Tribolium castaneum: one gene and its partners. The protein of the gene in region 1 binds, or shares a complex with, the protein of each later gene. Links are inferred from orthologs where the notes say so. Each region holds a gene or a part of one and is shown in the gene's direction. Other genes may lie near its edges.

Evidence for each region.
Region 2: dynein regulatory complex subunit 5 (region 1) and dynein regulatory complex subunit 3 share a complex: the UniProt entries of both Homo sapiens proteins name them as parts of the nexin-dynein regulatory complex. The link is inferred for Tribolium castaneum from reciprocal best matches to the Homo sapiens genes DRC5 and DRC3.
Region 3: dynein regulatory complex subunit 5 (region 1) and dynein regulatory complex protein 8 share a complex: the UniProt entries of both Homo sapiens proteins name them as parts of the nexin-dynein regulatory complex. The link is inferred for Tribolium castaneum from reciprocal best matches to the Homo sapiens genes DRC5 and DRC8.

The regions. Positions count from the first base shown.
Region 1 is NC_087397.1:8,819,863-8,823,143, forward strand, and holds the end of dynein regulatory complex subunit 5, read left to right. Parts: intron 1-1,270; coding exon 1,271-1,842; intron 1,843-2,503; coding exon 2,504-2,737; 3' UTR 2,738-2,749; downstream 2,750-3,281. UniProt on the Homo sapiens protein: Component of the nexin-dynein regulatory complex (N-DRC) a key regulator of ciliary/flagellar motility which maintains the alignment and integrity of the distal axoneme and regulates microtubule sliding in motile axonemes.
Region 2 is NC_087394.1:30,246,573-30,250,837, forward strand, and holds dynein regulatory complex subunit 3, read left to right. Parts: upstream 1-1,402; 5' UTR 1,403-1,777; coding exon 1,778-1,934; intron 1,935-1,985; coding exon 1,986-2,269; intron 2,270-2,316; coding exon 2,317-2,489; intron 2,490-2,538; coding exon 2,539-2,887; intron 2,888-2,934; coding exon 2,935-3,330; exon of another isoform or gene 3,331-3,376; coding exon 3,377-3,516; exon of another isoform or gene 3,517-3,562; coding exon 3,563-3,695; 3' UTR 3,696-3,787; downstream 3,788-4,265. Other genes in the region: TOM1-like protein 2, read right to left, coding at 924-987; enoyl-CoA delta isomerase 1, mitochondrial, read right to left, coding at 3,806-3,922. UniProt on the Homo sapiens protein: Component of the nexin-dynein regulatory complex (N-DRC) a key regulator of ciliary/flagellar motility which maintains the alignment and integrity of the distal axoneme and regulates microtubule sliding in motile axonemes.
Region 3 is NC_087394.1:7,333,029-7,335,930, forward strand, and holds dynein regulatory complex protein 8, read left to right. Parts: upstream 1-1,403; 5' UTR 1,404-1,538; coding exon 1,539-1,569; intron 1,570-1,619; coding exon 1,620-1,857; intron 1,858-1,903; coding exon 1,904-2,114; intron 2,115-2,163; coding exon 2,164-2,298; 3' UTR 2,299-2,320; downstream 2,321-2,902. Other genes in the region: delta(3,5)-Delta(2,4)-dienoyl-CoA isomerase, mitochondrial, read right to left, coding at 2,354-2,452. UniProt on the Homo sapiens protein: Component of the nexin-dynein regulatory complex (N-DRC), a key regulator of ciliary/flagellar motility which maintains the alignment and integrity of the distal axoneme and regulates microtubule sliding in motile axonemes.

The DNA.
Region 1 (3,281 bases):
AAAGTTTGTTTATCTACGAGTAAAAAGGTTAAGTCCAAGAGTGGTTAAGTCACAAGTGGACTTATTACACGAGCAGATAAACAATCTTTATTAATACATTGTTTCTTACATAGCAAGACTTCAAGTTTACGAAATAAAAGTTATTGTGCTTTATGTTTGTTGGAAATTCCACGCCACAGAGGTGAAACTTGAATTAAACGTAAAAATTCTAGAGTTTTAAAGTTATAATCATACTTAAACACTAGGTTAAAAATAAAATAAAATAAAAATAAAAATGCTTGGCACAACGTAGAATTAATTTCTGTTAACGAAAATATTATTTGGACTCGTCCGGCGCATCCACCATTTTTTAGTTTTCACGTAAATTGGTTTATCGTTACTTATTAAACGAGTTAATAAAAAGTTTTTTTTTATATACGAGTAAAAAGATTAAGTTCAAGAGTGGTTAAGTCACGAGTGGAATTATTACACGAGCAGATGAACAATCTTTATTAATACATTGTTTTTTCCACAGCATAACTTCAAGTTTACGAAGTAAAAGTTATTGTGTTTTAGGTTTATTGGAAATCTCATCTCCATAGAAGTTAAACTCAGATTAGACGTAAAAATCTTTATTGTTAAAGTTATAATTAAATTTGAACACTTGATTAAAAATAAAATAAAATTAAAATTAAAATGCTTGGCAGAGCGTAGAATTAATTTCTGTTAATGAAAATATTATTAGGACTCGTCCAGCGCATCCACCATTTTTGAATTTTTACATAAATTGGTTTATCCAATTATACGAGTCGATAAAAAGTTTTCTTTATCTACGAGTAAAAAGGTTAAGTCCAAGAGTGGTTAAGTCACAAGTGGACTTATTACACGAGCAGATAAACAATCTTTATTAATACATTGTTTCTTACATAGCATGACTTCAAGTTTACGAAATAAAAGTTATTGTGCTTTATGTCTGTTGGAAATTCCACGCCACAGAGGTTAAACTTGGATTAAACATAAAAATTCTAGAGTTTTAAAGTTATAATCATACTTAAACACTGGGTTAAAAATAAAATAAAAATAAAAATGCTTATCAAAACGTAGAAATAATTTCCGTTTGACGAAAATATTATTAGAACACGCCCGGCGCATCCACCATTTTTTAATTTTCACATAAATTGTGATTTACAGTTACAAGAGGTCAAAAATTGGAATTTTTTGATAAAATAACGAACTATGTCAAAAATTGCCTCCCTATTCGTTTACACTTGTTCCATTCGCTTCTCCAAAGGTATGAACGCAGTCGGTGACAAGTTCACCTGGCACATGTTTAAATTATCAGTGGGTGATTGTCAACGCTTGGGCAAATCCCTCCACTACTTAAAATCGCTCCGTATCTTGCGAATCCACAGAAGCAGATTAGAGGACCAACACGTGCGTGTCCTCATGCATGGCTTAATCAAAAATGAAACACTCGAAGAATTAGACTTGTCTCATTGTTTAATCGGGGATCAAGGAGCGCTTTGCATAGCTAAAGTATTATGTGTCCATCCGAAATTACGGTCTCTGAATCTCTGTGATAATAAGATTGGCCAGTTAGGATGCGAAGGTTTAGGTTTTGCGTTGTTGGAACCCGAGTGCTCGTTAGAGAAATTAAATTTAAAATTGAATCCATTAGGAGAAGGTGGGGCTATGGGAATAATGAGAGCTTTGGTCAGAGGGACCAAACTCGAGGAATTTTCGATGGCCGGTTGCCAGTTTGATGATGATGCTCCGATAAGGACGGGGCAAATGTTGCTCCTGAACAAGTCGCTCAAACGGCTGGATGTCAGCAATAATTGGTTTGATGAAGAAGGGGGTAATGTAAGTTGTGTTATTTTCACAAAATTTAAGTCGATGATAGACAAATAAGTAAAAAAATAAGTAATTTGAAAAAAGTTAGTGCTAACTGTTCAAGAACAAGATATTTTCAAACACAAAAAGCAATTAAAAATTAAACGTCGCATTTTATAAAGTTGTAAAATTGTTATTAATGATTAGACCTTTCATTGAAAGTAAAAATTACATTAGCTATTATTTTCCTGAAGTGCATGAATAATCTATAACAGCTAACTTTGAAAGAAAATGCAACGCTGACGTTTTTATAATTTTGAAATAGTTAATACAAATGATTTATTGGCTGCCAGATAATAAAGATTCCATTGTATTCAAGAAAAAAGTTTTTGTATGCAACCAACAATTCGCAACACTTAAAAATATGATGTAGATAGTGTAACTAATTTAAATTGTCCACTGACTCAAGTTCTACAAGTTATTAGTTGGTGGCTTCACACACCCTCGCATTAATTGAAATTAGGTCTGCAATTAGGTCAAATTAAATACAAATATTGGAGGCGACCCTTGGAATACAAAGGACGCCTAAAGTAAATAACATTGCGCTCTTCAATTACCAAAGTAGGTCCCGTGATGCATTTAATTATCGTCGATAAATCACTGCTAGATGCATTAATTGTATTATTTTCAGGCTCTTGTTGAAGGTATGGCTGTTAACAGGACTTTGGAATGGCTAGATATTCGGGAAACAGACATTACTTCTAACCAATATCATCAAATCAAACAATACTTGAAACGTAACAGACTAGGTTTGGAAGAAGTAAACCAAGTCCAAGAAGAAATTTCAACGGGACAAAAGGAACAAACTTCTCACAGCACTCTGTCCACACAAAAAACTGCGGAGAGTGGAAGTGTTTTGGAATAAAACACGTTTTTATGTCTGCGTTTTTATTTATAATATATAGCACATGTAACATAAATAGGAGACTAGAAAAATAATCTGTGCAACAGACGGATTCTACATTACGGTAACACCTATACTGGAATTTATTTACACTGAAGAAAGTAATTAATTCCACTACGATTGGCGTTAGAAATGAACAAAATGTATACATGTACCTTTCATACAAAATATTGAAACATTTTTTTACTAATTAATTAGAATAGATGGTAATAAGTCTTGTTCTTAGGAATCTTGACACAAAATTATATACAAATTATATACGATCCAAAATAGTGTAGGTAAATAAAGAATATAAAAAATAAGTATGAATAAAAAACAGTCACAATAAACAATGACAACGTAAGAATTGCACACCAAAGCTGAAAATGTCACCTAATTTTAAAACATTTCTACGATTTTGACAACATACAAAACTATTTTTAACACAAAAAAACGAAATAAAAAATAATATGTACACTACACGTTATCACCTTTGAGCAATTTTCAATATATCACTAAGTACAAT
Region 2 (4,265 bases), on another chromosome or scaffold:
GGTGCACGCTGCAGTAATCACAATTAATTATAATAATTGTAAAGAAAAGTTTTGGAGAGGACGTTGTTTTTTGTTAGCCAAACATTTTAAAATTTTATCTGAAAAAAATATGTCTGGTTCATTACTTAAATATTTACCAATGTCTCACAACACATTGTTGAATGATTGTTTATGGACTTATTATTACTATGTTATTGGTCATTTTCGAAAATTCTTGTTGCTCTATTTTACACTTGAATTATTCATGTAAATAGGCGATAGAAAAGAATTTATATTGTTATTTTTATTCTAAGGTGATTAAGAACGCGCAAAAATAGTTCCAATTAATTAACTGATCTGAATTAGCATAAATACATATGTATATTTATTTTAAAGCAACGATGAAAAATATTTCAACTACGTTTTGCCCATAAAATTATCAAAGAATGTGGGTACTACAGCGGTATTATTCCTAACTGTTGTGACATACATAAGAGATTATTGTACCGATAACGCAAAGTATTTTTTTAATAATAGGTTTAAATAGACAAATTTCCATAGGACCCCGTGAAGAAAGCATAAAACGTCTCAGTTGATAGCCTATGTAGAGTAGTATAAGTCACACCTATTGGTAAATAATTATAAACAAATTTGGTACGAAATAAAAACCACGCTGTAGTTGTGACAAACAAAATGTAAATGCAAAAACCTACACCTACACAGACAGCGATGACGAAGTACCTTAGAATTATTACCAGAAACAGTAATTAAACAGTCTGATGAATAGATATAGGTGAATCAGCCAACAAAAGTGATAAACAATGTAATCTAAACAATAAAATACAGTGCCAGCACCGGTTTCTAGTTCTATTTACGTTTTATTAAATCGATTTTAACAACGGAAAAAAATTAAATGAAATCCGGCAATGCCAAGCGGGACTCACCAATTCGCGATCCTACGGGCGTCGAAAAGGGATTTCCTCCTAATGCAGTTCCAAAAAAAGACATTTTTTATTTCTAAATTAAATTTCACGATTGCACTTTCTTGTTGTCACTTGACTTCTGTCACTGTCACTTGTCAAAACAAGAAAACACTGCGGCGCTTGCGCAATACTTCCGCTCCTAAATCTAAAATTTTCCGACGAAAATAACAATTTTATTTCAAACAAATAAACTGCATGACGCGCTTGTTGGTGTGTTAGTCACTGTTTTTCTAATTTATTGATCTTTTCATTCCCAAGTTGTGTAAACTTCTGAATAAAAAGACGTCAGACATGTGTCACGTGATCAAAAATTATACGAGGTGCGGTTCACAATTTAAAGTTCTTTTTTTATGTTATTTTTCCGTTCTTTCACGTAATATACTACCAAAGCGAGCATTTCTGCATTTATAACTGTGCTGTTGTCATTTCTTCTTTGATACAGAATACAACGTAATTTTACAATTTTGAGTATTTTTTTATAAGTTGCGGTATCAGCACTCGGCTTCGCCTCGACTACAATTTCGCAAACTCTTAATTGTAAAGATTTTTTTACTCCAAAAACCCTCTCTGGGCTATTTTTATCTACTTAGACGTTATAATCTACCTGTAAAGAGTTTTTTGTAATTGATATAATTTCACAATGAAAAATAATAAAACTCAAGAGCACAAGCTCGGCAAACTCAAAGATTCATGATTTCTCAAGTCCATAGCAACAATAAGGTACTTAAACAACAGTCATTGTGACATCAATAATTTCAAGAATGCTTGAAAAGGTATTTGTATCGATTTAGTGTGCCTAATGAAAATTTGTAAAAATGAATCCTTGTAAATTGAAAGAGCCAAAAGTAATAGACAATGCCCTTCTGGAGAAATGTATCAAAGACCAGGGCCCCAAGGGTGAAGCGGGTCGCTTGGCGGAGATCGAAAAAATCCCCCTTGAAGACGTCACCGAGATTCGCTTAGAATTTCTGAGTAACAATTCTTGTAAAATTTAAACCCGACTTTCTGTGTCCCTATCCGTAGATATCTTAAGAATTGACCACTTGTGGGTGCTGACATCTTTAACGAAATTAAATCTCAACAATAATTTACTGGAAAAAATCGAAAATTTGGAAAGTCTGGTGAACTTAACTGAACTAAATTTATCATTCAATAAAATAGCTAAAATCGAAAATTTAGACGAGCTTCGCAACCTTGAAAAGCTGAGTCTGTATGATAACGAAATCACGGTTTTGGAGAACATGGACACTTTAACAAAATTAACAGTTTTTAGCATTGGAAGAAACAAAATTGACGACTTGGACAATGTATTACGAAAAATAATTGTGTTCTAGAATACACAAATATTTTATAGATTCTGTATTTGCGACGATTCGGCAATTTAAAATCGTTAAATCTAGTGGGGAATCCCTGTGCCGAGGATGAAGATTTTCGTTTATTTATTGCAGTTTTTCTGCCACAACTCGTTTACTACGAATATAAATTAATATACGAGTCGGAACGGGAACTTGGACACGAAACTTTCAGGTTTCTAGCTAAAATTGTTTAAGTGAACATCAGTAGGAGAGTTTTTTAGTGCAAAACTGCGAGCATTGTTGGAGAAAGAGGAGAAGGAACGGGAAATCACTGCGATAAAGGAACAAGAGTTGGCCGATGCCGAACTTCACGCCTCTAGTTTCGTGGAGTATTTAAACACTCGCCATTTGTTCGACTCTTTATTTGCCAACGACACCGACGGCATGAACTTGATGAAAATCGGCGAAGACGCGCAAGAATTCTACGACGAGTACGAGGAGAACTTCATCGAACTGTGTAAACAAATATTCGAAAATGGGCAACAACAGTACATCCTGCGCAAAACCGAACAGGACCAGTTCTTAAAATGCGTCGAAGACGCAAATAAGGACAATCAAGACGAAAGCATTGTACGCCCCCTTTCGAATTTACTTATAGCCCCAAATTTCGTCCGTAGAAACACATGGAGATCTTCCTGGAGAAGAAGGCAATACTGTTCCTCAAAATCAAAAACGTGCAAAACCAGCTGAACTCAAACGAAATAAATTACGACGAGTTTATCGACAAATGCGACGTCTTCGTGGTGGAGTACGACGAGATGTTGCACGAAGTTTGGAAAGCGCTAATGAAACTGGAACTGGAACTTTACGAACAAATGGAAGAAGTCAACCAAACTTTCGAACACAACATCACAGAACTCGTTAATAATTTCATTGAATCGTCGCAGGCTTTCTTTACGCAGATCAGAGAGCTGGAAGTGAGCTACGCTGAAAATATCGGCGATTTGGCCACAAAGTTTCAAACAAATGCCAATTTGAATGAGGAAATCGAAGTTCCCGCAGTTCTTAAACCGGTAACTTCCGGCACTTGCTTTATTAATAATTTCAATGAGATTACAGCTTATGGCAGATAAGGATCTTCTGCACAACGCGTTGGCAACAAGTCACGATATGCACATGCAGATTATCGATGCGAGAGAAGACACTCTCATTTCGAACGCCAAGGATTGGCTAAATGATTTAATCGACGATTTAAACACGTAAGTTATGCCTTTACTTTTCCCGAAAAATATCCACAACTTGTAGGAATGAGATCAAGCGAAACAGGGGGAAAGTGCTGGAAATTAACCACTTTCTTGAAATCCAAAGGCAGGAGTTTGAGGATTTGAATAAGGAATACGCGCCTGATCTCAAGGATGACGTTATAGCCTTGGAATAAGTAAGATAGTAAAATATACTTTATTTTTACAAAAGTACTTACACATATTCTTGGTTTGGATAATAAATTTTACACTTCATTATATAAAAGAATATCAACTTATAATATCCTTATTTCTGTTTCTGCTTCAATGATTGCAGATACATTTCCAACCCCTTTTGCACACTGTCCTGAGCTACGTAATTCGCCACATATTCGTAATCTTTTTGGAGATTGTTAGTGAGGTCCTGAAATAAAAACTCATTTTTACAAAATATATAATTGAGCCTTAAATACAAAAATGCCAAAAAAGTCTATAAAAAAATCATAATACTAATTGCATCACATAATATGTTGAGATAAAAATATGTTTCCTTGGTGAGTTTCCTTAATAAAACATTTCGTTATATTTCCTTGCATTTTTAATAATGATTTTACCTACCTAGTTTTTGAAACTTAAAAAAAATACGGATAAATGCCAACTGATTAATTTCTGCAGAAAGATAGTACCCTCAACTTCTAGTATAAACTTAATTCGAAAGTATTACCAACAATTTCAGTACTAAAAGATCTTGGGGTTTTTTGGATAAC
Region 3 (2,902 bases), on another chromosome or scaffold:
CGGTTTCAAAAAAGAACTCGAGTAGGATCTCAAGAAAAATCTAGAGAAGAGTACAAAAACAATGCTAAAGAATAAAAATATATTGCGAGAGAAAAATTCTATACATAACTGTAGGACAATTTTGAAAAGATGCAGAGTGCAATCTAGGAGAGGTTTTGGATAAAAAAAATTAAAAGAGTTTATAAAATAATTTTGAGTAGTATAGAAAATAATTTCTAAAGAAGTATATGGAGATGGATTTATAAAATAATTTAAAAAGTTCCAATTTTAGGTTTAGAAACGATTTTTTAAAATATTTGAGACTTATTTTAAAAACAATCTAAAAAAGAGTAGACAAACAAATAATGCCAAAAAATAATTTAGAAAAATTCGAAACGAAAGTACAAAGGAATTTTCAAACAAAGCAGACCTAATAATTGTCTTAAAAAACGTGAAAAATTCGTGAATTTATACAATAATCGAAAGAAGAATCTATATTTCAGATCTAGAATTAGGCTTATTTAGGAAAAAAAGAAAAGAAAAGAATTAGAAAAGTATATGAAAAAAAAATCCAGAGAAGACTACAGAATTAATAAAAATTATTTGGAAAAATTGTAAAGGAAACTACAGAAGAATTTATAACCGAATCTAAAGATGTAACCTAAAGAAGATTATAACCTAATAAGATTATTTCAAGAGAAAAATTCTATACGAAACTGTAGAAGAATTTTGGAAAGATACAGAGTAGAATCTAGAAGAAAATTTGGATAAAAATATTTGAAAAAAAGTGTATAAAATAATTTTGATTAGAGTCTAGAAAATAATTCTAAAGACGTATCTACAGATACCTAGAGTCTCCTCTACAAAAAAATTTAGAAGAATATTATGAACAATGTAAAAAAAAGTACATAAATAAAATAATAATACAGACTAAAAAATAATTTGGAAGAATTTTAAACGACGCAGACAAGAATCTTAAATTTGGATAATGTCAAAAAAATGTAAAAGTGTTAATAAAACAATTTTGGATTTGAAAGAAGAATCTAGAGAAGATGGATTTATAAAATAATCTAAAGAAGAGTACAGAAAGCTAAAGAATAATCTGGAAGAAATTTAAACGAAACTAAAGGAAAATCTTGAAAAACTGCAAAGTAGAATCTACTACAGAGTGACTATTAAAGACTGTGACAAAAAAACCTATTAGTAACACTGAATTATTGGCCTTCATGGTGGCTTGTTATATTAAGATTTCAAATTTGTCACCAACCTGACAAGAATCGCAATTTTTGAATAATCACCTGGTAAAGAGAATTTGAATAATATTTGTGTATTTATTTTATTTACACTGTTTTTTGTCATTCGTAATTTGTGCAACATAAATATGGCATTTTTACTTTTTAATGTTATTTTTAATTAAGAGTAATTATTATTATTGGTGATTTTTACCAAAAAAATATGCAAGTGGTACAACTGCCAACACTTCAAATCACCTAGCAACCAAAACTGTCGCTAGGAGACCGTCAACTGTTTAAACCTTAACGATTATCAAAATTGTTAAAATGTTGGAAGACGAAGAAGAAGAAATTCATGGTTTTTGTCAAAAACTCGTCTTTTTCCAAAAAACCAACACGTTTTTTTAGTGCCTATTAATAATGACTTGGAGCGCAGAATTGCCGACGCGTTTGAAGTTTTCGACCACGCAGGTAACAAAACAGTCGATGTTCGAGAAGTGGCAACGATCGTACGTGCCTTGGGTTGTTGCCCCACTGAGGCAGAAATTCAGGAAATTTTGATGGCTGTTGAAAACCCCGAATCTCCCGGAAGTGTACACTTGTCTAATTTTTTACCCCACATGTCGCAAATCATCACTGAACACAAGTATCACCAAAATTTAATCGCCAAAAAACGAAATTTTCATTCGCAGGTATCAGCCTGCAAGTCCCGCGCAACTTTTAGAAGCGTTCCAAGTGCTAGATAATGAAGGTAAAGGTTTTTTAACAAAGGAACGCATTTCCACGCTTATGACGCAAGATGGTGAGCCCTTTACCCAAGACGAACTCGACGAAATGCTGGAAATAGCCATAGACCCACACACTCAAACTGTGCCTTATGAATATTACATCAATCAGCTAATGGTACCTAATTTTTATTTTTGCAAATATTGCACTACGTTATTTTTAATAGCACGAACCTGAAGGAGAGAAAGATATCTATAAGTTAGCTGATCGTGTTCTTGAGGAAAATCCACCTCCACCTCCTCCTCCTCCACCTCGAAGGCTGTCCGAGTTCCTGCATGATTTGTCCGTTCCTGAATTTTAAATTATAAAACACTCCAAACTTCCACCTTGTTTATTATTTAATCTTCTTGCTTAATTTACAATTTTGCGAAAACTGTATCTTTCTGTTTGGTAGCTTGGGCTACTGTTGCTGTTGTGAAGTCTTCACTTTGAAGCATTAGCTGATTCCATAAGGCCTGTAAGTAATGTGTTATTAATTTATTATTTTTTGCAGCTGGATTAAGAAACAAGCACTAATGGGGGCGCCATTGAAAAATAAGCTTAATTTATCTTCTTGTTATTTAATTAAGGCAAGTTTCCTTTTATTAGGTGGTTTCAGTGAACATTAATAAAGAATAAAGAAATATTTCTGTGTTGTTACTGATAAATAGTTACTCCTTCTGTTCGAAAATACGGTAGGTATAACTTTTAAAGGCCGGTAAGTAATTACCAGTGTGAGGAAATTTTAGGGGGTGGCCATGAGGCCACAACCGATCAGCCGACTCGTCGTAGCGCTCTCGCGATGTTCATATTTATCGATGAAATGGTCCGCTACAGCGTGTGCATTGGCGTAGTTTACTTGGGGTTTATACAATTAATGTTACCGGTCGCTTACAAAAATCTAATTAAAACATAAATATTATTGT